Regions from separate parts of the Mus musculus genome. Here all the other regions are reported to be linked to region 6. Evidence: microRNA targets listed by miRTarBase, many of them from high-throughput screens and not tested one by one. Region 6 holds a microRNA gene; each other region holds the end of a gene's coding sequence.

What was found. The annotated mature microRNA mmu-miR-26a-5p reads UUCAAGUAAUCCAGGAUAGGCU and lies in region 6 at 1,883-1,904, shown strand. An mRNA with a match to its seed (bases 2 to 7 or 8) in the 3' UTR can be bound and repressed. Matches are read on the target gene's strand: a 7mer-m8 pairs with bases 2 to 8, a 7mer-A1 pairs with bases 2 to 7 and ends in A, and an 8mer does both.
Region 1: the mRNA of Mat2a is a reported target of mmu-miR-26a-5p. Seed matches in the 3' UTR shown: 8mer at 1,926-1,933.
Region 2: miRTarBase lists Spock2 as a target of mmu-miR-26a-5p. Seed matches in the 3' UTR shown: 8mer at 2,894-2,901.
Region 3: miRTarBase lists Hp1bp3 as a target of mmu-miR-26a-5p. Seed matches in the 3' UTR shown: 7mer-m8 at 1,720-1,726 and 7mer-A1 at 1,863-1,869.
Region 4: miRTarBase lists Fa2h as a target of mmu-miR-26a-5p. Seed matches in the 3' UTR shown: 8mer at 2,595-2,602.
Region 5: miRTarBase lists Mrfap1 as a target of mmu-miR-26a-5p. The part of its 3' UTR that is shown has no 7-base or 8-base seed match.
Region 7: miRTarBase lists Abca5 as a target of mmu-miR-26a-5p. Seed matches in the 3' UTR shown: 8mer at 995-1,002 and 7mer-A1 at 2,612-2,618.

What each region holds. Positions count from the first base shown.
Region 1 is chr6:72,430,790-72,435,153 of GRCm38, reverse strand. Mat2a (methionine adenosyltransferase II, alpha) reads left to right here. Exons shown (of 9, transcript NM_145569.5): 8 at 40-173; 9 at 759-2,358. The coding sequence ends at 861. It overlaps Ggcx (gamma-glutamyl carboxylase), which reads right to left. Exons shown (of 15, transcript NM_019802.5): 15 at 4,048-4,364. Among named protein-coding and RNA genes, the nearest start is that of Particl, 5.7 kb to the left of the region's middle.
Region 2 is chr10:60,130,774-60,134,773 of GRCm38, forward strand. It overlaps Spock2 (sparc/osteonectin, cwcv and kazal-like domains proteoglycan 2), which reads left to right. Exons shown (of 11, transcript NM_052994.2): 10 at 311-448; 11 at 563-3,141. The coding sequence ends at 708. Among named protein-coding and RNA genes, the nearest start is that of Mir6906, 6.0 kb to the left of the region's middle.
Region 3 is chr4:138,241,077-138,245,440 of GRCm38, forward strand. Hp1bp3 (heterochromatin protein 1, binding protein 3) reads left to right here. Exons shown (of 13, transcript NM_010470.3): 13 at 370-3,607. The coding sequence ends at 664. Among named protein-coding and RNA genes, the nearest start is that of Sh2d5, 7.2 kb to the right of the region's middle.
Region 4 is chr8:111,342,727-111,347,090 of GRCm38, forward strand. Fa2h (fatty acid 2-hydroxylase) reads right to left here. Exons shown (of 7, transcript NM_178086.3): 7 at 2,412-3,795. The coding sequence ends at 3,716. Among named protein-coding and RNA genes, the nearest start is that of Mlkl, 6.7 kb to the left of the region's middle.
Region 5 is chr5:36,792,696-36,797,059 of GRCm38, forward strand. Mrfap1 (Morf4 family associated protein 1) reads right to left here and starts at 4,059. Exons shown (of 2, transcript NM_026242.3): 1 at 3,508-4,059; 2 at 2,172-3,249. The coding sequence starts at 3,898. The coding sequence ends at 3,521.
Region 6 is chr9:119,029,929-119,034,292 of GRCm38, forward strand. It overlaps Mir26a-1 (microRNA 26a-1), which reads left to right and starts at 1,868; the gene lies at 1,868-1,957. Ctdspl (CTD (carboxy-terminal domain, RNA polymerase II, polypeptide A) small phosphatase-like) reads left to right here. Exons shown (of 8, transcript NM_133710.3): 5 at 268-324; 6 at 3,608-3,700.
Region 7 is chr11:110,268,991-110,273,354 of GRCm38, reverse strand. It overlaps Abca5 (ATP-binding cassette, sub-family A (ABC1), member 5), which reads left to right. Exons shown (of 39, transcript NM_147219.2): 38 at 1-29; 39 at 789-3,986. The coding sequence ends at 896. Among named protein-coding and RNA genes, the nearest start is that of Abca6, 19 kb to the right of the region's middle.

The DNA of each region.
Region 1 (4,364 bases), not on the chromosome of region 6:
TACTTCCCTATTTTATAACAATGTATTTCTGACTTTTAGGTCTCTTATGCTATTGGAGTTTCTCATCCATTGTCGATCTCCATTTTCCATTATGGCACTTCTCAGAAGAGTGAGAGAGAGCTATTAGAAATTGTAAAGAAGAATTTTGATCTTCGCCCTGGGGTCATTGTCAGGTAAAGATGGTAAAACCTATTGCTAGTGAGATAGGGGTTTGGGACATATATACTAAAATCTGAGGAGATAGAGGTAGACTTCTCGTGAGGGGAAACAAATTTTAATTCCTAGAACATGCCAATATTTTAAATTGTCTTCAGACAGGGATCTAGCTGATTAAGTTAGTGTTCTGTGACTTAAAATAACATTCTAGAAAGTTCTCCATCTTTGATTCTGAGCTTTGTGCTTATCTTAACTAAGGGTGCTACATTAAGAATAAGCTAAAGTGGGATGCTCAAAGTTACAAAGAAAATAACCATAGTGGTCAGTGATTGGACCTTGGTAAGTATTCAATTGGAATTCCTGAGAATGATAAGTTTTCATTTGTCAAGCCAGAGCTGGAAAACAAGAACTGTAGTTACTATTAATAAAAACTGCAAGTAACACAAGGGAAGTAACAAATACTTTCGCCATGAACTTTTTTCCTAGCAAACCCCAGGGAGAACTGAACTCATTTGCCAGAACTCTTGAAATGAGTCTTGCTGATTGTTTTGCTCTGTTTTAATTTAATGCTACATATTAAGTTATGGACTTGTATATTCCAGGGATCTGGATCTGAAGAAGCCAATTTATCAGAGGACTGCAGCCTATGGCCACTTTGGTAGGGACAGCTTCCCATGGGAAGTGCCCAAAAAGCTTAAATATTGAAAGTGTTAGCCTTTTTTCCCCAGACTTGTTGGCGTAGGTTACAGAGAAGCCTTCAAGCTCTGAGGGAAAGGGCCTTCTTCCTAAATTTTTCTGTCCTCTTTCAGCTCCTGATCAGTTGCAGTCACTCTAATCAATGACATGAATTTTAGCTTTTGTGGGGGACTGTAAGTTGGGCTTGCTATTCTGTCCCTAGGTGTTTTGTTCACCATTATAATGGATATAGTGAGCATAGGTGAGCCATGTAACTGCCTAGAAACAAACACTGTAGTGAATAATGCTTTGAAATCGAACCTTTGTGCCCTATCACCTAATCCTCCAAAGTCCTAATTGCAATTACTTTCCCACCAGATGCTGAAAACATCCTTGTAGTGTGCACGTAAAGTACTTGTAGTTTGACTGTAGACTCTGGCAATGCCACAGCCCTGTCAGCATGAATCTGTAACGTCTTGAGCTCTATTTATTGAATGTGAAGCCCCTGTCCTTATCCTCCCTGTAACTCATTTCTAATTATGTAGTTCTTTATCAGGGAGTGTTCCTATCCAATCAATCTTGCATGAAACGAAAGTTTCAGTTGGAGCTCTAGCCTGACTTTGAAAAAAAAAAAAAAAAAGGCAGTTACGATTAAACCATCTCCCTGGTGCTTATGCTATTAATTGCCACCTCAAACAGCACCAAATCAAAATCTCTCCACTTTTCAGCTGTCTTTGGAGGACGTACGTAATAAGGTTTTATTTAGTAAACCAACCCTATGCATGGTTTCAGCACTAGCCAAACCTCACCAACTTTTAGTCTAGAAAAACAGGCATTTGGCACCCTTGTGATATACAGAGAAGTCACAGGGCAGTACCTGAGGGTCTGTAGGTTGCACACTTTGGTACCAGGTAACTTTTTTTTCTTTATAAGAAAGAGTACTCCACACTGCACAATAGCTCCTCCCAGGGTTTTAACTTTGTTTTATTTTCAAAACCAGGTCCAATGAGCTTTCTGAACAGCTGGTGTAGCTACAGAGAAACCAGCTTCCTTCAGAGAGCAGTGCTTTTGGCGGGGAGGAGGAAATCCCTTCATACTTGAACATTTTCTAATTGCTTATTTATTGTATTCTGGGGTATGGCGTAAGTACAGAGAAGCCATCACCTCAGATGGCAGCTTTTAAAAGATTTTTTTTTTTCTTCAACACCATGAATTCCTTTAACATGTTTCCAGCATTCCCAGGTAGGCCAAGGTGTCCTACAGAAAAACCTTGGGTTAGACCTACAGGGGGTCTGGCTGGTGTTAACAGAAGGGAGGGCAGAGCTGGTGCAGCTGGCCATGGAGAAAGCTGACTTGGCTGGTGTGGTACAGAGAAGCCAGCTTGTTTACATGCTTATTCCATGACTGCTTGCCCTAAGCAAGAAAGTGCCTTTCAGGATCTATTTTTTGGAGGTTTATTACGTATGTCTGGTTCTCAATTCCAACAGTTTAATGAAGATCTAAATAAAATGCTAGGTTCTACCCAAACTGTGTCTATTACTTGTCCATTGTTGCTTTCTGAGCTAAAATTTATAGCATCTGCTACCCATTGCCAGCAATAAAGTTTTCAACCAGGACTACGATAAAAGCTTAGTGATTTAGAAAGCCTGGCTTATACTGTGCATGCACCACGGTTTATGGAGGTCAGGATTTTTATTCACACTTGGAGATCCGTCCTGGGAAATCAACACTGTCTGAAGGCTTTGGCAATTAAGTGCTGCCTTTTGGATGGCAGAAGCAAGCAGAACAGGGGTCAAGAGGCTTCTGTGATGGCAGGAATTTAGTCTATATGCTAGATAGGTATTTTACTCTTTCTTGGCACTAAAAACATTTAAGAGTTGGTTTTTCAAGTCCTGGAACCCTGTAGACCAGGCTGGCCTCAGATCCGCCTGCCTTTGCCTCCCCAAGTGCTGGGATTAAAGGCATGCGCCACCACTGCCTGGCCATTTAAGAGACTTTAAGATGAGACTAATTTCATAGACATGTAGCTTTAATTCATAGCAATCAGAAACCCTGCTATGGTGTTAATGTTACACAAAATGTATTGATTTTCTTTGCCTGGTGGTGATGGCAGCTTGTTCCTTTAATCCTCCCACTTGGGAGGCAAAGATAGACATAGTTAAATTGCTGGTAGTCTCCAGAATGGCTCATGTATCCATCCAATTATTCAAGAATAGCAAGTCCTTATCTCAAGTTTTTAGAGGCTTGCTTGCTCAAGACAAAAATGACAAATTGCCCACTGGCAAGAACAGGACAATTAGGAACTTGAGATCCTCAGCTACATAATTTATATTTGGGGGTGTCCTGGGGTGAGACCATCTCAAAAGTGCTCTACCACATAGATGTGCTTGTGAGATCTTAAAAGCTAGCTTGAGCCCTCAATCTTAAGGAGGTCCTGAGAAATACTAGGTACATAAACACTTAACTAGGCCAGTGAGAAGAGAAGGAAATATGGGCAAGCAGGAAGTGTACTCGAGATAGGTGGAGTACTAAATAGGGTCTTGCTTCCCCTGCACTGTCCCTAAACTGAGCCTCTGCTGAAACTATAGATGCATACCAGTGCCCAGTTTATTTGGTAAGACTTACTGCATGGGAGACTATGTTACCAACTGAACCCCCATTTCTAGTCCCAAGCAGCTTAACTACTACTGAGCTCATCTCCACTTAATTCACTCTTAAATCAACATGGAAGGAGCATCGCGTGAACCTTGGGTTCATAAGCACTGCAAAAGTTTGAAAAGGACACCCCCCCCCCTCCTTACTACTCAGGGCTGACCGTTTAAGGACATAATGCCAGGTTGTATTTCATCAGAGCTCCCCGAGCCAACCCCTCTGGCCCATTGTATGCATTAAGCTAGATTTTTGGTTCTCCATTCTCAGACCTAACCTGTGCAATTGACCCTACCCTGGTCTTATCCCTAACTAGATTTCAAAATAAAGGGTGAAGGGATAGAGTGATAGTAGAGATAAAAATAGGATGAATAGAAGGAAGATGTGATGGAGTTGGACAAATACAAGAAAGCAGAAAACCTCAAGGCTTATGACTCAGCAATGGCTTAGAGAGTTACCATTCACTAAGCTGATTTATGCAAAAGTAAGCCATCTGGCTTCCCTATTTAGTAGTGCTATTCTGATGCCAAAGATGCTGAGCAACTTGCTGGCTACAAATAGGAATAAGTAAATTGTAAATTAAAATCTACCTTGTGCATTTGTTAGTACCTGGTCACCCTAGTCACTTGGCATTAACATAAGTTGTAAGCTATAATTCTTCAGCTTTAGTGTTGGTGGGTCTGAAAATTACAAGCAGCAGGATACAGGACCTTAAATCTAACAGATTTCAAATTGTCAACTCCCAGATGCCTTTGGGTAAATTTTGTCTTCCTTTCTTCAAAGGTAAAGGCCAATGCTTCTTAAAGTACTAAGTATGTTAATTCAGGTACACTGCTTCAAATGGTACCAAGCACATAGCAAGCACAATGAATTCAGCTACATTC
Region 2 (4,000 bases), not on the chromosome of region 6:
GAGAAACTCCACATTCCTAGCTGGAGACAAAACCAAGAATAGGATCGAGCTTTCTAACATGTGGGGCCAGACTGTCCTACAAGATGAAGGCCATGACACCAGCACTTGATAGCATCCTTGAAGAAGCCTGAGCATGTGACACAGGGACATTGGGGAAGGAAGCTTTGTGCTTCCAGTCAGTAGCCCTGAGTGTCTGGTTTCTTAGGGGGTGGGTATCAGTACCAAGCTGGCCAGGTTCTCAGGCCATCGAGGCCCCTGCTCGCACACGACTCCAGAGCCCACACTACGGGCTCTTTGCCCTAACCCTCAGGTGTCTTCATCCCGAGCTGTGATGAAGATGGCTACTACCGGAAGATGCAGTGTGACCAGAGCAGAGGTGACTGCTGGTGTGTGGACCAGCTGGGCCTGGAGCTGACCGGCACACGCATGCATGGGACCCCTGACTGTGGTAAGGAGCATGCGGCTAGTTCTCAGGGTGGCGTACGTGGGGCAGGACTCCAGGCTCAGAAAGTAGACACAGTGTGTGGGTTCCTTACCGGCCTTTCGTGTGCTTTCCCAACAGATGACATCGTGGGTTTCTCCGGGGACTTTGGAAGCGGCGTTGGCTGGGAGGATGAGGAAGAAAAGGAGACAGAAGAGGCAGGGGAGGAGGCCGAGGAGGAGGAGGGTGAGGCGGGTGAGGCAGATGATGGAGGCTACATCTGGTAGATAGCCCTCGACGGCCTCGGCAGGCCAGGGTGCCGACGGCCAGAAAGACAGGCCAGAAGAGACCTGGACAACAGCAGGCAACTTAGCAAATGGATCCGGAAGTCAGTGCGGAGGACCCTGGCTCCAGTGGGGGAGGACTGGGGAGTGTGGCTTGTGTGTATGTGTGATATGAGATGTGTGTGTATGATGTGAGATGTGAGTGTGTGATGTGAGATGTGTGTATGTGAGATGTGTGTGTGTGTGTGTGTGTGTGTGATGTGAGTCACCCAAAGGTCCCTATGTTATTGATTTTCAAATGCACACTTTCACACACAAGGATACACTAACAGACCAAAATCAATGAGATGTCCCTGATCCTGCCCCTCAGCCCAACACCTGGAATCCCTGCCCTGCCTAATCAGCCCTACCCCATCCTGCCTTTCTTCCTTCCTCTTCTGAGGCCAGGGAGAGGGAGGGAGGGCAGGCAGCTGAAAGCTGAGCGTCCTCCCCAAATTGGGCTGATTTGATATGAAAGCCCCACCACGGTCTTGTGGTGATGAGGCAGGACCTGTACACACAGCAAGGCTTACTATCCGTCTCCTGACATCCGAAGAGCTCGTCGCAGGTGTGTCTAATGGCCCTTGGGCTGCACGTGGTTAAGCATAGCTGTCTCTGTGGCCCAACACAAAGAGGTAAACTTACTTAAAACACAGGGGTTTTGTTGCTGTTTGTTTTTTGTTAGTTTGTTTGTTGATAATTGGATTGAGGAGTTAATCCTCTGTCACAATGTCAAAAGCATGGACATCCCTGATAGATTATCTCTCAACCTAGTCCCGAGTAACCAGAGATAGCTCAGCAGAAGAGGCAGAAATCATGAGACAGAGGACAATGGGTCCCTTGATTTCAGGCCTCAGATTAACCCAGTCAGCACCTGTGGCCTCATGGGGCTCTGGGCTGCTTTCTTGGCGAATGGGGACTGTCATCATATAGCTGAGATTTGGAGTAGCCTGCTATGAGGGCTTGCAGTTGCACTCTCTGTTCCCTGGCGAGGGTCCCCCTTGTCCCAAGGAGCAGAGGACCAGCAAGCAGCCCGTGTCTGCTCACCTTCTCCCTGACCCTCTAGGAAATGGTTCCCTCTTGCCCCGACCAATAGAAGGGCGTGTCCCCGAGACCCTTGTGAGGAACCACGGGGAGCTGTGACTTCCTGTGCCCAGAAGGTCCTGGAGGAGAGGCCCCAAAGCCTTAGTCCTCTCAGCCATGACTTTCCTCTGTCTCAAGGGTCCCCAAGATGGCCCTAGAAGAACCATGCCCCAGACTCTATTTAAAGCCCTATAGCATATATGAATAGAGAACGGTGTATCTATCAGAGGGGACCACACTGAGCAGCTAGGCCCTGATGCCATGCCTCAGCACGCCCTCAGACCTCCAGGCCGGGTGGAAGGGGCTTTTACCCAGATGTCCTGTGGGGTTTTGTGTGTCTATTGCTCCCCACTTCCCCCTCTCAAAGGAAATTTCCTTGATATATTTGATGAAGAATTCCTTACCTGGGCCTCTGATACCCTTTGGTACGCGTACGTGTGTGTGGCGCGTATACGTGTGTGTGTGTGTGTGTGTGTGTGTGTGTGTGTGTGTGTGTGAGAGAGAGAGAGAGAGAGAGAGAGAGAGAGAGAGAGAAAGAGAGAGAGAATGAGAGAGAATGAGAGAGAGAATACCCGAGGGCCACCCTGATGCCCAGGAAGAGTGAGGGCAGCCCCCTGTGTGGTGGAAGAGGCTGGGCAGCTAGCTACTGGGGACCTTGTGCTGAGGCTTCCAGGACAAAGCCCCAGTCTGGCTCTCCCCCAGCCTCTCAGGGGCACTGGCTGGTCACATCCACTGAGTATTGATCGGTTGGACTTTAGGGAAGAGCCTCCTCCTTCCCATTCCTTTCTGCCACCCTGGAATGGCCACCTTAATCGTCATCTCCTCGGGGGGAATACGGAAATGTCACCAAGCTCCATAAAGTGCTTCTCATTCCACGACACAGTTCTGACTCTCCGGGTGACTGTCACCTGCTCCCATCCTCTTCTTCCTCCCTCCCTTCCTCAGACCTCTGCAACCATCCTCTGGTCCCTGGCTCAGTCACATCAGCCCTCTGCATTCTAGAAGCAGCCATCCCGCCCCCCTCTCTCCTCCCCCTCCTCCCCTTCCTCCTCCCTCCAGCTGGAGTTACTTGAAACTTCCTGCTCTCGCTAGGATGGAGTCTGATTCTTTCTCTGCCCCAGCTGGATTTCCAGAACATCCCCGGGTAGCTGTGAAGGATTTTAGGCTCTCTGGGGTGGGGAGGGGGTGGTGTAGAGGAAGACGCATCCCCTTCTTTCACCCTGCCCCGCCCTGCCCCGCTGGGGAGCTATGCTCTGTGTGTCCCTGGATCTTCTGGTTTTGTATCTGATGTAGTAAACATGTTTTAGTAAGAAAGCAGAAGGCGTGGAACTGTGGCAGGCCCCAGGGGTCCAGAAGTTTGTCCCTCTCTAAAACGCTCCCCACCCCATACTGCTTTTCACCCCACTGAGACCGAGTCCCACAAAGGTAGGCAGAACAGCTGTTCCTGGTGGGGCTGAAGGTTCCCAAGTAGCTTCTAGTTAAGCAAGCTTCGTGTTTCCTCAGGAGCAAGGTCACACAGGTCAGATTATTGTCGGTCCTGCGGGCCTCATCCTTGAATAAGCTGCCTGCCCAGTTCCTCCATCCGTGTTCCTGCCTGCTCCCGTTCCCTTGTTGCGGGCAGGAGAGGTAGGGCTGTGTTGGAAAGAGTTCAACCAAATTACGGCAGCACCACATCTTGCCGAGCCCTGGAGCTGCCCTACTAAGAGCCTCCTTAGCCCTGGGTGCTGGGAAGGATGGTGTACGTTGGGGAAGTTTGAGGTTGGAGAGAGTAAATGTGCCTTGAGAGACCACTCAGAGGTCCCAGGAGGAACGGGGGCGGGGCTTAGCCTGGGAGTTCTGGCAGGAGGCAAAGTTGGTGAGAGTCCTGGGACATCTTACCCCCAGTGTTCCACAGGAGTCGTGACCACGTGTGATGGGTGGGCACAGGTCTGCCTTGCTCCAGCCCCCTCCCTTGGTTTCTGTTGGTACCCATTTGGCTTTTATCTGCTTTCTGCTTCACCACTAAGTGCGTAGGTGGGGTCTTTTGATATCGGCTCCCCAAAGCCCAAGCCCACAGCCCTAGGAGAGAACCAGGGGCCCATCTTTGACACCTGGGCCATCACGAGCCCTCCCGCCTGCAGTTGTCCTAGGGAAAGACCTGGGGGTGCAAAAGGAGATTCAAGACATCCGTACC
Region 3 (4,364 bases), not on the chromosome of region 6:
TTCAGGCATTGTGAATACATAATGTCTTTTTCTGGTCAAACATAGTATAAATGTTTGAGAAATCAAGGCAAATTTTTTTTGTTTTTTGTTTTTTTGGGATTTTTTTGTTTGTTTTGTTTTTCGAGACAGGGTGTAGCCTTGGCTGTCCTGGAACTCACTCTGTAGACCAGGCTGGCCTGGAACTCAGAAATCCGCCTGCCTCTGCCTCCCGAGTGCTGGGATTAAAGGCGTGCGCCACCACGCCCAGCTAAGTTTTTGTTTTTAACATAGTGATTTCTATGTAAGTGATTTCTTTAAGCAGAAGGAGATTGTCCTAGCAAATGGCTTTCTCCTGTACTCAGTGATACATTTATTCTTGTGTTCTCACAGCTTACAGAAGAAAACACCAGCCAAGTCCCAAGGGAAGACAGCCTCCATGAAGCAGAGAGGGTCGAAGCCTGCGCGGAAAGTCCCGGCTGCCCAGAGAGGGAAAGTGAGGCCGCTGCCTAAGAAAGCTCCACCCAAGGCCAAGACCCCTGCCAGGAAAGCCAGACCCTCTCCCTCAGTCATCAAGAAGCCTAGTGGGAGCTCCTCCAGAAAGCCCATAGCCAGTGCACGAAAGGAAGCGAAACTGCCCGGGAAGGGCAAATCTGCCATGAAGAAGTCTTTCAAGACAAAAAAGTAAATTTTATAGGGAAAAGGGTATCATGATTGAATTCAGAATCTTACTTTATAAGGTCAGTGTGCATTTGTTCTAGTTATAATGCTTTTAAATTGTACTTTTTCTTCCCATGTGAGCATTGTGGGAAGGAATGGACACAGAGCAGCGTAGACATTTGTGAGCTTCGGTGCTGTTCAGTGCCTGCTTCTTCATCACCTTAATTTCTGCCATAACCTGGACTTCGCTGACTGTGTGACTGCCCTGCTCCCTCTGTTCATCTTAGCCCCAGCCCTCGTCCTCTTTCTGTGATCCGATTGAGGATTTTTTCCTCCTTCAAGTTAATTTAAACAACTGCAGAGATGTGTTTGTAGAGCACTTAGAGGTCTGGGGCTGGAAGTCCAGACGGCGCAGGAGCAGTGTTGGGAAGGCTTTGCGTCCTGCCTGCAGACTTGCTAGAGCTGTGGTGATTAACCCTGGCTGTTGAATCACTCCACTGACCAGTCTCCAGCTTGAGTCGGGGACATGTTAACTTCGGAAAGAAGCCCCCGTCCCTGCCATCCCATAGATTCTGAAGGGCTCCTCTCCTCCGGTCACGCTGACCAACTGCCAAGCTCGCTTTGCTGCCCAGAGCACTGTCCCCTCACAGCAAGCACAAGTTGTCTGCACCACTTGGTTTCTGACTGAAGGGGAAGTACAGGACTACATGGAATCTGATTTCTGGTGTTGCTTATTACCAAAAATGACAGAATATTCTTGATCAAATGTCTAGATATATTTTTAATATTTGGGGCATGAGTTGTCCCTGTTTGAGAGTTCCCATTACTAATGTAGAAATGTTAAATGGTAAAACATAATTTGCTAAAATGACCAGTTTTCAGATTCACCTGTGCGTGTGCCCCCCACTCCCATCCCACCCTGTTCTTTCCATAGAACTTTTGATATCAGGCAAACGGTTTCCTTTTTGAGATATTTTAACAGAGAAGGGGTGGGGGAGAAGCAGATGAAGCTGTACTACCCAGCCCTCTTCTTGTTTGTATTTGTTTAGGGTTGTGAGGTTGTGTAAAATAGTACTAGCTTCTTACTTGAGAACTACAGTTTCTGCTTATCATTTATTCTTCCTTGTGGCACTTAATATTTTAATTGTCTTAAGCTTTTTGATGTATATATCCTCTGGCCCCTTACATGCTGCCAGAGGAGAAGGTGTTTGTTTGAGATTCATTCCACTTGAAGTGTCTCCTGGGATCCCCACAGCTGCGTATGGCTGGGAAATGGACTTAAGGCTTGGGCTTGAATTGGTGGCTCCTACCTGTGAGGTCCCATCGTGAGTCACTGGGATTTGTGTTGCATGGAAGGCAGTCTTTCCTGTTGTAAATCTTCCTTTTTTATGTACAAATATTTTGAAAAATATGAATAAACATGAACTTTTAAAAGCTGCTGAACTACAGCTTAGTGAAAAGTTTCCAGTACCTGTCCTGCAATCTCTCCTCCTGCAAGGGATACCATGGCTTCCTTTTTCTTTTGAGTTCTTACTTTGATGGTCATTTATTTTATATATATGAGTACACTGTAGCTGTCTTCAGACACACCAGAAGAGGGAGTCAGATTCCACCAAAGAGTCATCTTAGGGGCTGGAGAGATGGCTCAGCATTAAGAGCACTGTCTGCTCTAACAGAGGACCTGGGTTCAGTTCCCAGCATCCATATGGTAGCTCATATTTGCCTCTAACTTCAGTTCCAGGGTTTCTGACACTCTCACACAGACATACTTGCAGACAAAGCACCAATGAACATAAAATAAAAGCAAACTTGTTTTTTAAGAGAGTCATCTTGAGGCTGTGGTGGCATACACCTTTAGTCCTGGCACTTAGGAGTCAGAAGCAGGCTGATCTCTGAGTTCAAGGCTACCCTGGTCTTTAGAGTGAGTGACAGCCAGAGAAACCCTGTCTGAAAGAAAGAGGGGGTGGGGGAGGGAGGGAGGGAGGGAGGAGTCATCTTTATTGAAAAACTTTTCTCAACATCATAAGAGCCTAGTTTTTTGTTTTTAATTAACATACAAAATTCAGGTTAGACTGGGGAAAAAAATGACAGCACAGTTACAGACAGTAGCCCACCACAGAGATCTCTCTCTCTAGAAAGCTTGAATTCCTCATATGTGTGCCAGGGACTGGTTACTCATAGGGTATTGTTAGCTACCTGAGCCAACAATTCTCTGCTCTTATGGAATCAAAAATTGCAGGTCGGTTTTTCTGTGTTATACAGTATTGCTTGTACAGAGGTTTGCTGACTGCTCAGCTGGCCCCTGCCCCATACATCAGACACTGTAACTTGTACTATGAGAAGCTGGGGTCATGTAAGGTCTCTCTCTCTGCTCTGAATGCGCCTTAACAAAAGTTTAGGGTAGGACAGTCTGCTTTAACGTCCCAGGAAAGGTAAAGACTGGATCACTCAGCTCCAAAGGCCCAGCTGTCCAACACATACACTTTCATACCTGACAGAGAGGCTTTTGATTTCTGTTTTCATCTGTGCACTCTGCAGAAGACATTTACAGACTTTACTTTTGTGTTAAATGAGAAGAGAAAACGCAGGAGGTGGGTGTCTGGCCTAATGGTCTGTCTGGTTTAATAGTCTTTCATAGACTCTGAAGTCGCCTGCTCCAAAGTGGTTGAAAAATGAGTCTCTGAAGATGCTGGAAGCAAGGTGGTTGGCTTAACTTGTATTCTCAGAGACTCATTATTACTTTATTCCGTAGTAATGTGATAAAGGCAAAGTTTATTAGCACAGGTTAGACCTAGTCCACATGAGCATAACTGCAGGAAATCGAGTCCTGTATACACCCCAGAAAGGACAGGCTTGGTGGCCCATGCCTGTCAAGGCAGCAGTGGGAGCTGTTTGCATCATGTCTGTTGACAATAGTTTGAGTAATTTATGGAAAAACAAGATCTAAATAAATGTAACCCTTGGATATAAACTTGGCTTGTCCATTAATTGTTATGTAAACTTGTTACTTAGCTTTCTCTTGCTGTAACAAAATAGAAATAATCTCTAAGGAGGAAAGGCATTAATTTGTGCCTTACTGTTAAATTCCTGTCATAGAACACCATGACCAAGGCAACTTAGAAATTGTTTAATTTGAGCCTCAATGGTTTCAGAGGGTCCAGGATCACCATGGCAGAGAGCATGACAGCAGCCACTGGAGCAGTGGCTGAGAGCTCACCACCCCCCTCCCCCCAAGACAGGGTTTCTCTGTGTAACCCTGGCTCTCCTGGAACTGACTTTGCAGACCAGGCTGGCCTCAAACTTGGTAATCCACCTGCCTCTGCCTCTGCCTCCCAAGTGCTGGGGAGAGCTCACATCTTGATCCACTAGCACAAAGCAGAGCACTCAGTGTGAGTAGCATAGGCTTTTGAAACCTCAAAGCAGACCCTGATGACAAACCTTCAGCTATGTCGCACCTCCTAATCCTTCCCAAACAGTTCTACCACCTGGGGAGCAGATATTCAAATATATGGGCCTGTGGGGGTTCTCATCCAAAGCCTCACAGCTTAGGCTCTCAGTGATCGGGCAGGGCAGGGCAGGGCACACCTCCTAATTAACTTCCTCCCACCAGACTGCTACCTTTTAAAGGTTCTGCCACCTCCCAACTACCTGAGCTTTTGGAAGAGCACATACCGAACCCCTGAATAGAAATTTCTATAATAGTACCAGTGTTTATATGCTGGCTTTGT
Region 4 (4,364 bases), not on the chromosome of region 6:
GGGCCATTCAACCTTGGACTTTCAGCCTCCAAAACAGTCAGTGACATAAACCTCTTTTCTTAATAAAGTACCGACTCTCAGGCATTTTGTTATAGCTACACAAAATGGACTAAGACAGATGGATGGCAGGGGTGGCTATAAATAAAGACAGGTGATGCCCTCAAAGAGAATCTTAAGCTAATGGGGGAAGGGACTGACTAGTGTATAAAGACTCTGGTGTCTTGTCTTCAAGTAAATGAACCTGGCGTGTTTCTCTGATGCTTCTCAAAGTTAACCCTCCCCCAACCACTGTTTCTTACCTCTCAATCGTGTCCTGTGTCATCTTCACTGTTGTTCTTGTTGGAGGTTTTGTATTCCACAGAGCCTAGGAGAAGCTGGGATCCCCTCTTTTGTGTTAGCTTTCTGTGTGTGTGGGATGAAGATAGGAGCTCCAGCATTTCCCAAGGATTACACTTATTCTGAAATATGCATTATAGATTCAACTCATTCATTGGGCAGAATACCTGTGAGGGAAATTCCAGCCACTGCGGCTGTTTGGAAATCCACACGAGAGTATTCATTTCCTCCCCAAACAGTAGATAAGACAGGGAAGTTAGACCAGAGAACAAGACGGGAAGTTTTAAAACTAATCACACAAGCATGGTTTCTAAACAGGAACTCTGAAGACTGCCCTAACAAGGCGGGGCTGCATGCTGTCACCAGAGGGCAGCAGAGTCCAGGGACCAGAAGGCAAAAACCCAACTGTTCCTAGGCAGATCTGACGGAGACAAGGCTGACTTACTTATACTGGGCTTTGCTACATGTAGCTTATTGTTCTGTGCACAAGGCAAAAGGATACAAAGTACAAAGCAGAGATCAGAGTTCAGAGCTAAAGAAAGAATGCAATAGAACAGAACTGAGGGGTAGTTCCTCCCGCCACCCAAAGACCCAGTGGTCTGGGGAGTGCTAACACCTGGCTGGCGCTAGGTGCTCAGGCAAGAACAATTGCTAGATCAATAAGAGACAATGTGTGTATTTGCTTTGCTCTGATCAGAATTTAATGAGTTCTTTTGAACATGCTTTCTTGAATTTCTGCTGAGGTTGGATAGATTGTTTAAATGCTATTTATTGCCTTTGGCTACCCCCTGTAGCCTGCCTTTGCTATTGGTGGGTTCTTTTTTTCTTCCACCCTTCTCCAACCCATTTCTTCCACTGTTTCAACCTCCTAACACTAGATAGGAGAGAAAAAAAGGATAGATTGGGAAAACCGACATCTTTACTGTTAGAGTACTTTCTGCTGCGTAGGGGTATCAAGTTTTTGGGGGACAAGTTTGCTCTTCAGGATATCTAGTTTCTTCTTGTTCTTGTTTCTTCTTTGCACAAGACTACCTTAAAAAAAAAAGACATCCAGCTCTTGGGGCCCTAGCGTTTATATACTCTCTGAAGAGTCCCCCAAATTCCCAGAGTCACACGATCGCTGAGAACTGTCTGCCACTGTCAAAATGGCGCCCCTGCTACAGCAAGAGGTAACATAGTCAGCTGCTGTGGACAGTCTGAAGTCTGAAGCAGCCCCATGTCCTACACCTGGGACTAAAACAGAAATGTATTATTTTTCTTAAATGCATGTATGTATGTATGTATGTATGTATGTATGTATGTATGTGAGTACACTGTAGCTGTCTTCAGACATCCCAGAAGAGGGCATCAGTTCTCATTACAGATGGTTGTGAGCCACCATGTGGTTGCTGGGATTAGAACTCAGGACCTTAAGAAGAGCAATCAATGCTCTTAACCACAGAGCCATCTCTCTAGCCCCAGAGTGTCTATATTAACTCCACATCACTGTGTTCAGGAAACATCACAGAAGAGGAGGCATAGAGAATGAGGAATGCTGGGAGATGCTGTCTTTTTTATGTTTACATGTTTTATATGTTTATTGTTTTTTTAATTTTTATTTTTACTACTTTTTTTTATATGTTATTGAAATCATGACCTCACAGTAGCTGTGGTCACCTGTGTAAGACCTATCCAAGATCAAGTTAGCCAAAATCCCAGCATAGATGATTGCCGGGCTAGAGTTTATACTGAGGAACTGTGGGCAGTGGGTAGGTATTGAGGGATGGGGGAACTTTTTGGTTTTTCATTGTTTGTTGTTTGAGATGGGATTTCTCTGTGTAGCCCTTGCTGTCCTGGAACTTTGTAGACTAGGCAGGCACTGAACTCAACACATCCACCTGCTTCTGCCTCTGCTGGGATTAAAGGCATATACTATGACCATACCCAGCCTGTCAGCTTTTTATTATCCCATTGTCCAGAAACTGGGTACAACTTGCTCAGAGTGATAACATCTTCCTCCTTCTAGACCAGTCAGTGTCCCTCCTTCCTAGTGATAATGGAGTCCAGTCACCATCAACAAACACCAATGGGTCTTTGCTGGTTTCTTCTCAATGTTTTATTTTTCAAAATATACAATTTATTTACATCTTTATTTCACAAGTGCAGTTTTGTATATTTATCCCAAAAATCTCTAGATAGCTTCACCGTAAACAGTACAAATCATAGACTGGTCACACTGCCTCTCTTTAGTCTTTGCACCCATTGGGTTTTTGATAAGTTTCAAGTAGTAATCGCTTGTGGGTAAGAAAGGAACAAAAAGGAAGGCAAGATGATTTTTTTTTGTCTTTTACATAAGCTCAATACATAGGATTAGAAAGGGCCATCTGACCAGCTACTTCATTTGGGGCCAGATTAAAAATATTTATGTAGCTTATAAATAAGACTCAGGAGCAGTGAGGGCTCTGGTTACAAGGAAGGACAGTCTGGGTGGGAGAGGGTGGGTGATAAGGCACCACATACAAGTCCCTTCTTGGCTTCAGGAGGCACTTCTGGGAGGGTCCTGAGTGGGGCAGGTTTCTACCTGTGCAGATGGAGGCCAAGTATGACCGGGGCTAGGCTGGGGCTCTCACCAACGTAGACTTCTCCAGCCTCTGTTGGGGAGCGGTTTTGTGGTTTGGGCAGGGAGAGAGGAGACAGAGAAAGCCACTGCTGATCCCCAAAGACAAGGGCCAGGGCTCCTGTCAGCCTTGCAGAGGATGCCAGGCACCCTTGTGCTTTCTGCCCAGGCAGACAAGTACTGGATTACTTCCGCAGCTGATAGTACAGCTGGTATCTGGGGTTGGCAGGGCCCATAGTGGCTGTCCTGGGGTCTGGGAATGGCCTGTGGGAGGCATCATGCTGTTTCTTCTTGGAATAGCCCTTCATTTACTTCTGAATCATCAAACTCTCCCAAGAAAGGACAGGAGAATACGATGTGGCCACAGGCCTGCATGCCATGCTTCTGCTGTGACACCGGTCCCTCTGCTGCATGGGGAAGCCCCCAGGGAGCCCAGGGTTCTAAGGCACAGGTGGGGTCAGTTTCCTTCATGCCCCTTGGGGCCAATGTCTGGACCCTGAAACAGCACTGAGGGCTGAAGCTTAGGCAGGAATGCCAACGGGGAGGCCATCATTCTCTGGGAATGAGCCAGTCCCCAAGGGCCACGGCTATCAAGAGGATGCTATCCTCACACAGGAAGCCGGAAGGGAAGCCCTGCTTTCAGGTCTCCACCAGGCCCCAGGGCTAGACAGAGCCCGTCATGCCTGGCCAAGCTGACCTCAGCAGGTCTAGGTGGAGGTGGGGGGTAGGACATGGGTGGGGTCTGGGGATAGACCGAGGGCAGAACAGAGGGTCTAGGGGTTGTCACTGCATCTTCGGGTGGGCTTCCTCTGGAATGAGGGTGTGGAAAAAGTAATCCCACAGTTTAGTGCTGATGCCAAACCCTGCAGAGGGAGACAAACGGGATAGAGGATGAGGTGCTGGTCGAAGAGAAGAAAGACATTTACCTGGGGAAGGCGAGCTAGGAAAGAACCAGCAGCCAGGGACCAAGGACCAAATACCTACCTGTGTTTGTCCTGTTTCTGGGTTGGCCTGGCCCTACCTGTGTTCCCAGGTTTCCCCCCTCCAGCTTCCCTCTCTTCCTTGCTGGGACAACTCCATCCCTATCCCAGGGAGTTGTTCCTGGAATTCCAGCTTCCCAGACATCAGACACTACCTTCTTTTCATTTGGGCTCGGCTCCAGTGACTGCTGCGGAGACCTGTTTCTTGAATTACATTATGTGGGCTTTATATGTCAGCATGAATATATGTCAGGTACAAGAATCACTTGACTAATGAGTCCTGGGAGTGTGGCTAGGATCTTCAGAGGAACTCATTTCTGATTTCATTCAATTCAAATTATTTTAAGTTTTGATGTGAACTCAAACATTTGACTCAGTTACTGGACAACTCAGAAGTATGTTTGAAGCAACTTATATTGGTGAACCTGTATTATTATTAATTATTATTATTA
Region 5 (4,364 bases), not on the chromosome of region 6:
GAAGGTTATGCTGCCACCACCACATTACACCGCTAGGACACAGTCCCATCTCAGGGACAGAACAATTTCCTTCACTTGTGTTACATGTTAGGCACAGAATGGCAAAGAACTATAAAGGAACAAGGTGACTCCCAACCACTCCCTCAACTGTTGCTGCGCCCCTGCTAGGCTGCAGAGCGTACTCTGGAGGATGTCACATAAGGGGATCTGGCTGGACTGACAGGTGTCACCTTCCCTCATAGCTCAAAGGCTCTAGAAGCATTCACATGGTCCCAGTGAAACACAGGGATCAGGAAGTGCAACCCTACCGCATGCCCAGAGGGTAGAGAACAGAGTCCAGGTGTGAGCAGCATTGAATGCCTATAGTCCTCCACCCCAGGGAAACGTAGCTCCCAGAGAACCTCAACAGACCAGTGCCTGCCAAAGACCCTGGGATAGGGAGCAGGACAGGAGAGTTCGAGTCTTCTGTTCCCCTGCTTCGTCAGGATGGCCTCTCCTGGAGCCAGACATCCATTAACGTGTCCCTCACCCCGTGTTGTGCCGTGGCCACCAACATTAAAACTGCTTTCTTCAAGAACATCCTCTACTGCCGAGTGCTCAGAAGCCAGAGCTGTGCTCACCAGAGGCTCTTTCATGGGTCTGTGCCAAGCATCCCATCACCCCAGGTGGGCGACACCTCCTTTCTGTAAAGAGGGAACCACACAGACATAGATGTTCACACAGGGAAGCTTCCAAGTTAGTTTTAGAAGGGTGGTTGGGAGGGGTGTTAAGCTTCAGGGTTTTTTGTTGTTGTTATTGTTTCTTCTCAAAAGCTGATGCACTCTTAGGGGACTCCAGAGTGGGGCCAGCCTGAGCTATACAATGAAAACCTGTCTAAAACCAGGATGAAGCTAGGAGGAGCCATATGTTAAAATATATGTAATGTTGGTAAGGTTAGATAATTCAATTGCTTAGGAGAGAACTTCTATCTTGAACTGTCTTATTTACAAAAAACCTTTTGATTATGTTTATGTATGTTTGCCTGCATGCATGTGTACTATGCATGCCAGTGTCTTGGACGTTCAAGAGTGTTGAATCCTCTTAATCAAGGGCTACAGAGAGTTGTGAGCTGCCATGTGGGTGTTGGGGACTGAACTTGGGTCCTCTTCAAGAGCAACAAGTGCCCTTAACTGCTGAACCATTTCTCTTGCCATTTAAAATTTAATATATATATTTATAGATGGGGCACAGGTTGCAGTAAGGCATGTTGAGGTCAGAGGGCCACTTTCAAGGCTCAGTTCCTGACTTCTACCATGTGGGTCCCTGAGATCAAACTTAGTTCCTTAGGGTTAGTGGAAGGCTTGCCATCTCTGTGGCCCTGATTATCACTTTAAAATCAGCAACCCAATGCGATATGCTACATTGGGACAGTAAAGGTTTATCTGTGGCAAATAAATTCTGAATAAAGTACATAGCAATGTGCCAAACATGGCCTTTTCTTGTTGGTTACCTCCTGAGTCACATTCTTACTGGACCTTTGGCCCCACTACTAGAACCCACACCAGTGTCTGGTCTCATTTCCCTGTGCCTGGCCTATCCCATTCTTCCTGACTTCTGAGGTTGTGCTCATCCAAGGCCAAGCTTATCAAAACAACACTCTGGAAAGCCTTCCTTACCCCTGCCATGTTCTAAGGCAATTGCATCTGTTAAGAGCCCAGAAGCTGGTGCCTCAGCAGTACCAAGAAGGAACCATACACGTGAGGTTCAATGGTCACTCCCGGATAGGAACATGCAGAGCAGTCAGAAGTTAGGCTGGGCTGCAGTTCCCTCAGCAGACACAAGAATTCTAAGATGTCTAGGGTGGGGTGTCCTTAAAAGGGAGGGCCCTAGACTTTGGCCACCTAGGAATGAGATGATGGCCACACAGGGTCAATCCCAGCAGTTGGGGACCCAGCCCTTCTTGTCTGAAGGGAGTCAATACATTGTTGCTGTTGTATCATCAAGACTGGTAAAGAACAGGAGTCAAGTAAAAGGCAAGTAAAAGGACTGGTCTCAGAGGCTAAGACTGTGGACTTGCTACTAGGAATCAAGACTTTCCTATTCTCACGTTTCCTACAGCAGTCGAAATCCCCTTCTGCTTACCCAGACTCCCAAAACTGGAGAATGTTCATTTAAACTAAACACAGGCCACTGAAGGAAGACTTCACTTAATATTTCTTAGTAACTCTCCGGGCTGATCTTTTCAAGCAAACGAATACTTTTATTAACATGTAAGATTTTGTTTTCAACATGGTAAGGGTTTTGACCTCAAACGCTTATCAGGTCTGCCACTCATACATTTATAGTTCGACTACATATGAACCTTTAAGACGCCTCTTCTTTTAAGTTTTGGGTCCATTGCAGGTTTTCCTTCCTAGGCCACACAGGGTATTGCAAGGATCTTTCATTTTATGGCCAGGATCTCCTCGAATATATGGGGATACCAACTTGTACAGACTAACAAGACCTCTTCTCCCATCCGAGGTTCCATTTCTTTTAGAAATGAGTTAGGCTGTCCCAACAAACTCACCAGGCAGGTTACAATAGATAGTGTAGCACATAAAATTTAAATTTTGCACAAAATACATCTCTCCTCCTTTGGTCTCACACAGAAATTAAAGTCCCCCAATAGAAACAATACTATCCTCCGACCCTTCTCCCAGGTCATCAGTCCTAGCCATGTAAGGCCCATCCACTGTCCCGGATGAAGTCTGGTCTCTTCTGCCATTGCTGCATGGAGTCTTCGAGAATTAACACAGCTCCTTCAGAACTTTCAGAGGCGGTGAGCTTCAACTCTGAGTCTCAAGTGTCACAGAGATTCAAAGTTCAGGGAGCTATCAGGTCACCCAAGAAAGAGCAAAGCACCTCAAAATTTAGGAACAACAACCAAAGGCCAGGAATGAACGTTATTCAACTGCCACAGGGCTTACAATCTAGGCCCTAATTCCCGTATGTGAGCGCATTTTCCAAATCAAAGTTATTTCCCCCAAACAAACAAAAAAAAGGAACCACCGAATAATCAAAAACTCATATCGAGGTCGTCAACCGCAGACCATAGCAGAAACGTAGTGTCAGTGAGAAACAGAGGGAAGACAGAGGGGAAAAGAAAAAAAAATAAGAAGGAGATAAAAAAAAAAAAAAAGGAAAACAAAAGGCTCTCTGGTTTCAGCTTCTCCAGGGTGTCATGTCAGCCAATCGCCATCACTCAACCAGAATCCATTGGCTGGAAACCTAAGGCACGGGCGGGAGAGATTCATCACCGAGAGGTTAATCACGCTGTCCGGACAGCAAAGCAAATACCCGGCCCCCTTCTGGACGCTGTCTCACTTAGGGCCCCATGCTCTCCAGCACCATCTGGAAACTTCCACGGTCTCCCCGCCGACGATTTGCTATTACTCCTTCCCCAGGGGGGGCCTAGTTTACTCCCGAGGCGACAAGCCAGCCTCCTCCCCCACCGTCGCCCACGCCCCGCCAGGCTCCCGCCCTTACCGCGGCCGGCTCCTCACGAAGACTCGCTCTTCTCTATCCGCCGCACGAGCTGCACCAGCATCTCGGCCATCTTCGCCATCTCCTGCGCCTTCTCGTCGGCCTTCTCCGCCCGGGGGCCGCGGGGCTCGGCGCCGCCGGCACCCTGCAGGTGGTTGAGGGCGCTCTCCTCGGAGGCCTCGACCTGCGTCTTGATCTGGATCAGCATATTGTCCATCTCCCACAGCTTGCCCCGGTTGCGCGCCGGCGCGCGCCCGCGCTCGCGCGTCAGCGACGCGATGTCCTCGCGCATCTCGTGGATGACGGGCAGCAGAAACTGCTCGAAGTCCTCCTCGGGCTCCAGCACCTCCACCTCCTCGGGCTCCGCCAGCTCCACCGCGTCCAGGGGCCGCATCGCCGCTGCTCTGCTCGTCTGCACGACCCTCACGGACGGAGCTCGGGCCGAGTCCTCAAAACTTCCGCCGCCGGTCCAACTTTCCGCCTCGGAGAAGCCACGGAGACGAGTGACTGCCGAGCGGGCGAGCGACGAACAAAATGGAGTCTCAACCGTCAACCAGCGCTCGGCGCTTTGCGACCCCTTTCACGACACCTCCGCGCCCCCTCTTTACGGCCGCGCTGAAAGGGGCGGGCGCGCTCGCGTCCACGAAGGGGCGGGGCGAGCGCCTCTGCGGCCGCGCGCTGACATTAGGTCGGCCTCCCTTTCGCAGCTTTTGCAGCTGCTCTGGGTGATGCGAAGTTCGTCCCTTCCTGTATCTTATTCCGATTTTATTTATTTACTTTTTGAAACAGGACCTCACGCTGTAGCCAAGGCTGGCCTGGAACTCAATTATTTGGCTTAAACTGATCTTGAACTCTAGGCA
Region 6 (4,364 bases):
TCTTGCCAGACTATGCCACCCTTTGCAGTTGAGGCAGGCAGGTGTCCAAGAGATTGGGCTAGATGCTGGAACTCCAGGACACTCAGGACAGGAAGAAATACTCCTTCCTACATGTTTATTTCAAGGACCCAAGGCCTCTGCCAGCATCCTTGTGAACTATTTCCTGCCATCGTCAAAACATTGGTCCAGGCAAGCTTCTTTCTTGCTACAATTTCCAATTTTCTCTTTCCTTTCATATGTATTAATCACAATTTCTTTTCTCTCTAGCCCATTAGTAATGCTGACTTCATTGTTCCTGTTGAAATCGACGGAACCATACACCAGGTAAGGAACCAGAGTTAGCCTGCAGTTCCAGAGAGCATTTTCTTGTAACCACACTCCCTGGGAACATCATTTTTTCAATTCTCACTTCAGTGGCCATTTTATTCTAACTTCAGGAAACAAACTTTGTATAATAAGTATAGTAAGCCAGGCATGGAGGCAGAGGCAGGCAGATCTCTTGAGTCTGAGGACAGCCTGGTCCACAAAGCGAGTCCTTGTACAGCCAGGGCTACACAGAGAAACCCTGTCTCAAAAGCTAAATAAAAATACTGTGAATGATTCTCTGCCTCATGCATGCATTTGCTTTTTACCGTGTTTATGAGGACCCTTTTCTGTTAATAAATATTAGGTATGATCTCTGATTTGATTTCAACTTTTAGGAGCCTTTGTGCAATCCCCTAGTTGTCCCCACCGCTGGCCGGGTTTGACATCTGGTCAACTTCATCATGCATTTGCTTTTGGCTTCTCCTAGCAACAGGAAAATGCCACCAGTCACCCACTGACGGAGCATTCTTGGGAAAAATGTCCACTTTGATGCCAACTGCTCCCGTGAGAGCTTCTCTGCCCATGTGGTTTTCTCCAGTGTCTTTTTTAGCAAATACTCAACCCAGAGCAAAGGGGAAGGGTGTGTTAAGACCAGCAGGGTGCTGTGCATAAATTGTCATCGTCAGCTGGCATCAATCTTCTTCCGGTTTTTGGGGTTTTCTGTTTTGGGGTTGTTTGTTTGTTTGTTTGTTTGGGGGAGTTGCTTCTTCTTTATTTTTTCTTCGTCATCAGCAAGCTCTTCTGGAAATGACTTCGTCTATGAATACATTAGAAACATGGTAGAAAAGCTCGCCTTGGAGGTTAAGGTAGATATAGTTTTGCCACATGTTTCTTAGGAGTGATGGGACAGACTGTCTCCCCCATCAAACTCAAGGCCTTAAGGGGAGAGTATCTGGCCTCATATCCCAGGAAGGGACAGACATTTCCTGGTTCCTGGGCCACACAGGATGTCATTTCTTAACGATGCCAATAAGGCTCCTTAACTCTTGAGTGCAGTTTAGAACAATCCAGGGCTGTGAAATCAGCTGTTTTAGCCATTCCGTTGCCCAGACAGAAGGTTATATATGACAATCATCAGGATAAGATTTCCTGACTCCTAAGCCAGGGCTCTTTCCTTAGACTTGGTTCCCCCTGTCTCCCTTACCCCCACCTAGCTCTCTATCCTGTCCTACAGGACATAGGACCTGGGAAGGTTTCAGGCACCTGGTCACTTACCATTCACAAAGCACCAACTGAATTAACTCCACCCCCGCCATGCAGTTAGGACCTCTGCGCTGGTTGTTGTGTCTAAAGTCGAAGAGTCCTTGAGGTGAGGCTCAGGAGGACTGCCCAAGAAAATAATTCTTCACACCACGTGGCCACAAGCACGTCCGGAGTGCAGGACCCACCCCGGCTTCCCTTGCCCCTTCTCTTTGGCAGTAGACACCCCGGGCATCAGGGCTGGGAGCAGAAACTCCAGAGAGAAGGAAGGTACAAAAGCTGGAGGACCGAGGCCCTGGCGAAGGCCGTGGCCTCGTTCAAGTAATCCAGGATAGGCTGTGCAGGTCCCAAGGGGCCTATTCTTGGTTACTTGCACGGGGACGCGGGCCTGGACGCCGGCATCTGGGCCCAGGAACCTCCTTTCTGCTAAAGGCGGCAACAACAGAGTTTCCCCCGTCCATCTCCAACCCTTTGCCTGTAGCCAAGCTTGCTGGCCAAGCAGTCCTCCCGGAGACTCAGGACCGGAGGCCACACCCAGTCACTGGCACCAGCAACAACGAGTGTTATGAGCAAAGCAGGTCCTGCAGCTGCTACAGCCACACAGCTCTGCCCTCAGCCTAGCCCAACACCCCAGCTCAGCAGGATCCTGGTGGCACCCAGGATAGACCACCTATATTCCTCTGGCCCCTCTCTCCACCCTCAGCTGCAGAGCCAGACCCCCAACCCACTCCTAAAGCTAGCCAGCCGCTTTCTCTCCAGGTCTTTGCCCTAGGAAGCGCCTTTTCCTGGCATGCTGCAAAGCAGTGTTTCCATCTAGGAAGTCTGTCCTGCAGTGTGTTTTCCTTGCATGGGGTGCAGTCTTGTGTCTCCTCTCCCTTTCCGCAGCCCCCTCCCCTGCTCTGTCTGCCCTTAGAGGCCCTGTGGCTTACTGCTACCTTTAGCTCTTTACCTTAACTGCTTCCTCCCTGAGCAGCCTCCAGGGCTTCTCTCACTGCCTATGGTTGGCTGTGGACACAGGCTTTGGCCCAACACAAACCCAAGTGTTGTGACGCTTCCGATCCTCACGTTCACACTTTGCTCGGGTTGGAGGCTCAGCTCTCTCTCTCTCTCAGCGTGTGAGCTCCTCTTTATTCAAGGTCAAGGCCAGATGTTGCTTTCTGAGACGCCCTCTGGAAGGGAGAATTATCTTGAATGAATACCCCACTGTGAGATTTCTTGTGTTCACTAATTTCTGTCAGTGTGTGCTCAAGACTGAGTGAGCTGAGCCGGCAAGGCCCACCACACGAGTCTCCAGAGGATTGGGGGCTCCAATTCAGCCTTGTAGCTGAACTGAGCACAGCGCTGAGACCTGGTAATTATGTTTTATTTTAAAGATGTAGCTAACTTCTAGTGGAATTTACTCAAGTTTTAATTGGTCCCTCCCTCTGCCCACTGCCTCTCCCTGGCTTTGCTTTCTCTCTTCCAGTTCCTACACATTCCTTTAGCCTCCAGAGACTGCAGCCTGGGTGTTAGGTGAAACCAGCTGCTTCGCAGGCCTGTCTGGTCTGATCAGAAGGATACACAGAGCCCAACTGTGGGAAGCAGCCCCTTACCCATGTGAAGTGCTTTCTGTACCCCTACACAAGCAGGGTGACCTCCATGGTGTCCACTAGAAAGTTTTCAAGTGCATTAACCCCAGGGGGCAGGGATGTTCAGAGTTGGAGGCCGCAGCTAGTCCTAGACTTCCAGAAGGACAGCACCTAGGCTGTGGCCTGTGGCCACATAGGGGCTGACTCAGCAAGTGCCAAGTGGATGCATGAGCAACTGCGACTGGACATGGCACAGCTGTGCTCTGCTTACTGGCTCCGAAGATACTCAAGAACCTTGACGACGTGGTCGGCTTTCCTTTCTCTCTACAAGGGTTGAGACGCAGAACCTAGTGCAAGCTTCAGTAAATCGTACATAGGCCTGGCAACAGGAGAAGGGCCCCTTGGCAGTTCTTCCAAGGCCCACGCTGTCCCTGGATGCTATGACTGACAGCTCTTGTCTCCTCCCACCGCAGGTGTATGTGCTGAAGCGACCTCACGTGGACGAGTTCCTCCAGAGGATGGGGCAGCTCTTTGAGTGTGTGCTCTTTACTGCCAGCTTGGCCAAGGTGCGTCCTTTTCGTCCTGCATCCTGTGTCCTGCATCCTGCGTCCTGTTCCCAGCCGTCATCCCAACCTCTCCACCCTCCACCACACCCCCCAAGCTGCCAAGAGCCCTTTGTTAAGGTGGAGGAAGCTATTTTTACGGTGACAGGTTCCCACCCCAGATGCGATAGATGCAGGCCATGTGCACACTGCTAGGCTGAGAGGTTTCTGGTTACCATGGTGACTGGGAGCATTTGGAACAAATGCTCCATGAAGTTGCTTTATGCAGCCACCTGAAACCAGTTATCCACAGACAAAACCACAAGACCCGTCCATTGTGACTGTGGATGGATGCAGGTGTGGGGGAGTCTCCCTCACGCATTGAAGAGCAGCCAGATTTTAGAGTCCCTGTGTCCCCGTGTTTGATGGCCACAGGTTTCAGGGAGGAACAAGTTAAGAGGCAGGTGTCAAGTGTCACTGGCAGGCACAGAATGTTGGGAGTTCTGATAGCCTTGGGAGCTGAATGGTTTCTGGTAAATTCCTTTACCTCTGGCACATTGGTTTCTTCTTGTCTAATTGGGGATAATTCCATCTGCCTGTTAGAGTTCATTAAATGAAATGGCCCATGTGAACGGCTCAGCACAGCCCCAGATTCCCATCAAGCAGACGTTCATTGAGCCCTCACTGT
Region 7 (4,364 bases), not on the chromosome of region 6:
ACAGCTTTTCTCAAGCAACCCTGGAACAGGTACCGTAAGGTTATATTAGAAAAGGTTACAGTTGACTGTACCTCGTAGCAATTGCTTAGGCTTAGAGTGTAGACGCCAACCCATATTATAGACATTTAAAACTATAGACTTAAGGTACATTTACTTACTTGTTTCATGTGTGGATGTGCAAGTGCCACAACATTTTAGTGGTGTCAGTTTTCAACCATGTGGCTTGGTGACTGAACTCAGGTCTTTGGCTTGATAAAAGGTACTGCTGAGCCATCTCACCATCCTCAAATTATAACTTAATTGGAATTGCAACTTTAGCTTCCTCTTAGTTTTTTGTTCAGTTCCATTTTAAAACATCTTTAATTGAATAGTCATATTATTTATATTTATTGACTACAGTGCGATGGTTTGATATATATGTATACTATTGAACAGTTAATTCAAGTACATTTAATTTTGTTAAGCTTGAACATCTTTTGTTTATCTTATTAAATATTTAAAAGACTCATGGCATTATTTTATATTAGAATACTTGAAATTGTTTAAACAATTTTAATTTATTTTATGACACTACTACTTGATATATTAATCAGAAAATGTATTAACCCTCTAAATATGTGTTTGTCTTTGTAGCTACTGGGCATACCTTGCTTTGTTTGAATAGCATCAATATTAGAAAATCCCTTGATACTTGTTACATGTTAGTTACGGCATTGTATCGTTTCTGACTTAGTTAAGAGTCCTCTGAATGATACAGTAGTTGACTTTTCCTTCTTCCTTTTACCTAGGTTTTTGTAGAACTTACTAAAGAGCAAGAGGAAGAAGATAACAGCTGTGGGACTTTGGCCAGCACTCTCTGGTGGGAAAGGACGCAGGAGGATAGAGTAGTATTTTGAATGTTTATGCTCACCCAGCCTACCGACCCTGAGTTGGTTTATTCTTTTTTATTCTATTTTTTTCTTCTTTTATCTTATCTTTGATTTTAAAAGCTTATTACTTGAATAGTTATTAAAAAAAATGAAAGCACTTGGAAATTTCTTAAAGTCCTTAATTAACACACCATGGTTATGGTTTGGATTTTCTTTCAATAAATTTGCGTGTAATTGTCCATGTGCATGTTTATATCTGAAGGTAGTCTATATGCCTACCTTCACGTTTCACAAAAACAATATTTCTCAACTTAGGATTTAAAGAAATAATAAAAGAATAATTCTGAATAATATTTAAATTTTATACTATGTTACATAATTATGTAATTTCCCAGTGCTAATTAAAAAGACCAGTGCCTGACTAATAACATAGAAGAGAGACACAAAGCAATGCAGAAACTGGCTTTCCCTTTGATATGTCTAAAAGAAGCTCTTAGTGGAAGTTGGCCTGTGTAAATGTGGAACCGTTGAGAAGTAACGTCCACTAGGTGGCAGTCGTTGGTCACAGGAAATAAAGGGAAGCCGCAGTCTAGTGACTGCAGATATGGGCAATTAAATGTTTCAGGTTGTATGTCTTTTGTCTACATTAAAATTCAAATGTGTTTGGTGATCGTTATTCACAGAAAGACTCTGACTAGAGTCTTAGTATGTAAGAGTCCAGGTCTCTGAAAGTGCAGTGACAGCTGTTTGTCGAGGTGGCCAGTTCATCTCTACTTCCCTCCAGACACCCGACTGCGAGCTGGGAGAGAGCGCGTTGTTGCCTTTCCTCATACAGGGCTCATTTAAGTTTATTCTTAGATGAGACATTTAATGGATAACCATCTTTATTACTAAATTTGATTCCTTGACTCTCTTGAGTTTTAAGTAGGTCAGCATATACCTTCCTTTAAAAGGTCACCTCAGAACATGGTAGAATATAGGAGCTCTTTCAAGGGTTAAATTAAGAAATAAAAATTAGAGTTTCACTCTTGTGACAGAGTTGAAATATGATAATTAATCTTAGAAATATTTGATTTTATGACTCATATGGACAGGTATACAAGTATATGATGTAGTTGATACTGTATTTCAGGCTGTTGTATATGTGTTAGCTTTGTAAAAACATATATTGTGGTGTGACTTTTGCATCAGAGACGTAAAGAACAATAGCAAGAACAGAGGGCTTGCTACCAACTTTCAATGGTCAAGCTTTCAGTGAAGTTATTAATTATTTAATGTTGGGAAGATTTAATGAACTTTTAGTCCTGTTGGGTAGTAAAATGTGTGACTTTAGGCACTAGTGGCTAATTCAAGTTTTCCTTTCTCAGTACAAGGTGGCACATGGCTGGCAACTTTCTCTATTGCTTTGACAGTTTCTTTCCACCTTCCTAAAGGCATCTGTGTAGTCTCGTATCTCAGAGGTACTCTAATGTAATAGAACCATCCTACAAGTCTGCTTGGATTTTATGACACGCCCCTCCCCCAAGTTCTTGTAAGGTTTCATTGGCAGTAGCTTGCCTCCTGATACCAAATTATAATTTTGGATCCTTTAAGGATCTTACATTTAATTAATCATTTAATTAATGATTACTGCATGACCAATATAGTCAAGATGTATTTAAGATGAAATCTTTATTTTTGCTGATAAATTATAAATTGCACATTGTATTTTCTCAGCAAGTCATTGCTAAATGGTGCCGTAAACTTGAAGAGCTATCTTTTAGAATTTAAGTACCTTGGGCCTTTTTTTGGGGGGGATGTGATTTTTGTAACTCTGTAACCTAGAACACATACCCTTAAAAACAAACAAACAAGCTGCATTTATAGTTTACTAGGACAGTTACCGAAAAGGGTAGGTTTCATTTGTGTCTTAAAAGCGTTTGGCCCTCCTAAGACAGAACTGTCTCATAGAGATGGTGAACACAGGCCATATCGCCTTCTTTCTCATATAGACTTGGTCACTGTCTATTAGCATTGCTCAGTGTGTGCTCAGTGTAAAATATAATTTTCCTAGGGAATGAAAGTCGAGACTGCACTGTCTAGTCTTCTATATTGTGTGTTCATTCATATTACAGTGGATAGTTTGGTTTTATACATGGATTTATTTTAAATTATCTTAAATTATTGCTTTCAGAACTTTGTTTCTTTTCAATACAGGTAAAGAAACAAGTGTATTTGTTAGCAACAAATGAAAACAAACTGCAGCGTCACCTTCCTGCCTTATATTTTCCATCTGTGGCCAAACAGTAAGAGTAGAACAAAGGCAGACTCTGCCGAGTTGAAGGCATTGCTGTCTGCAGCAGAGGGGCCGGTCAGGAGGAAGCAGTGGAAAGCGTTCTGGGAGGTTTGCCTTCTGTGGGCTCTTCCCTGCTTTCCATGCTGTTCTTAGGAAAAAGCAGGGTTCTTTTTTTTCCCCCAAAACTTTAATTTGTCAGAGATTATTTGTAGCCAGTTTTGGTTTTCTCTGTTAAAACATGTTTCGATACTTTAAGCACACCTTCCAGTGACTGCGTTTCAGAGTGGGCTCTTTGGGTAGAAGGATGAACTGTTCGGCTCTGTAAGATCTTACATTTTATTAAGACAAGGATAGATACTTATAACCAGTTATGATATGACAATGCTTTGCTACTAGTCTTAAGAATATCTTCTAGGAAAATGAATAGCACAGTTAATTTTACTAGGGTGAGTGTTGGTTTCCCGGTTCTTTGTTGGTCACTCAGCGTCTCATTCCGATCGTGCGTTTCACATTTGTTACAATGCCATCTTACATTTTCAGGTAGCATTCAAAACGCAGGACTTTTTTTTTTTTAAATAGCAAATGCTTTTAAATGCTTTTTCTTAATGTATTTTTAATATTGTTAACATTGAGTTCTCATCTTTCCCCTTGAAATAGCATATTACATAAAGTGAGAGAATTTATTCTCAGGTGAATTATTTTTGTATCAGCTATTCTTATAAGGTAAAAATTTACTTGTTTTCTATTCATAATGTGTTATATGTACAATTCTCAATGCTGCCCTTTAAGAAAAATGAATGTGCTTATATTATTAATAATAAACTTTAAGAGCTAAAAATCTATGACAGACTTCAGTTTGTATACCAAAATTCATTTAGTGTTCATAATTAGATGTGTGACTTAAATTCAAACTTGAAGCAGTCCTCTGTGCCTAAGATGGTAATATCCCTTAAGGACCCACATAAATGAAGGGATAAGAAAACATTGGGAGGAACTGCAGTTTAATCATACTCAAATTCAACAATAGATAACCAAGAAAAAAAGTAAGAGACTCTTGTTGCTTAGCGAGCCACTGGACATATTCTTCTCATTCTGTCTAGTTGAAAGTCAAAAGAACTTACAACAGCCATTTACCATTTACATGCAGAGCCCTGTGCTGGGGAGGGTGACTATTACCAGAAATGGGGTAATTCCAAAATTATTTATTTAAAAGTGTTTTA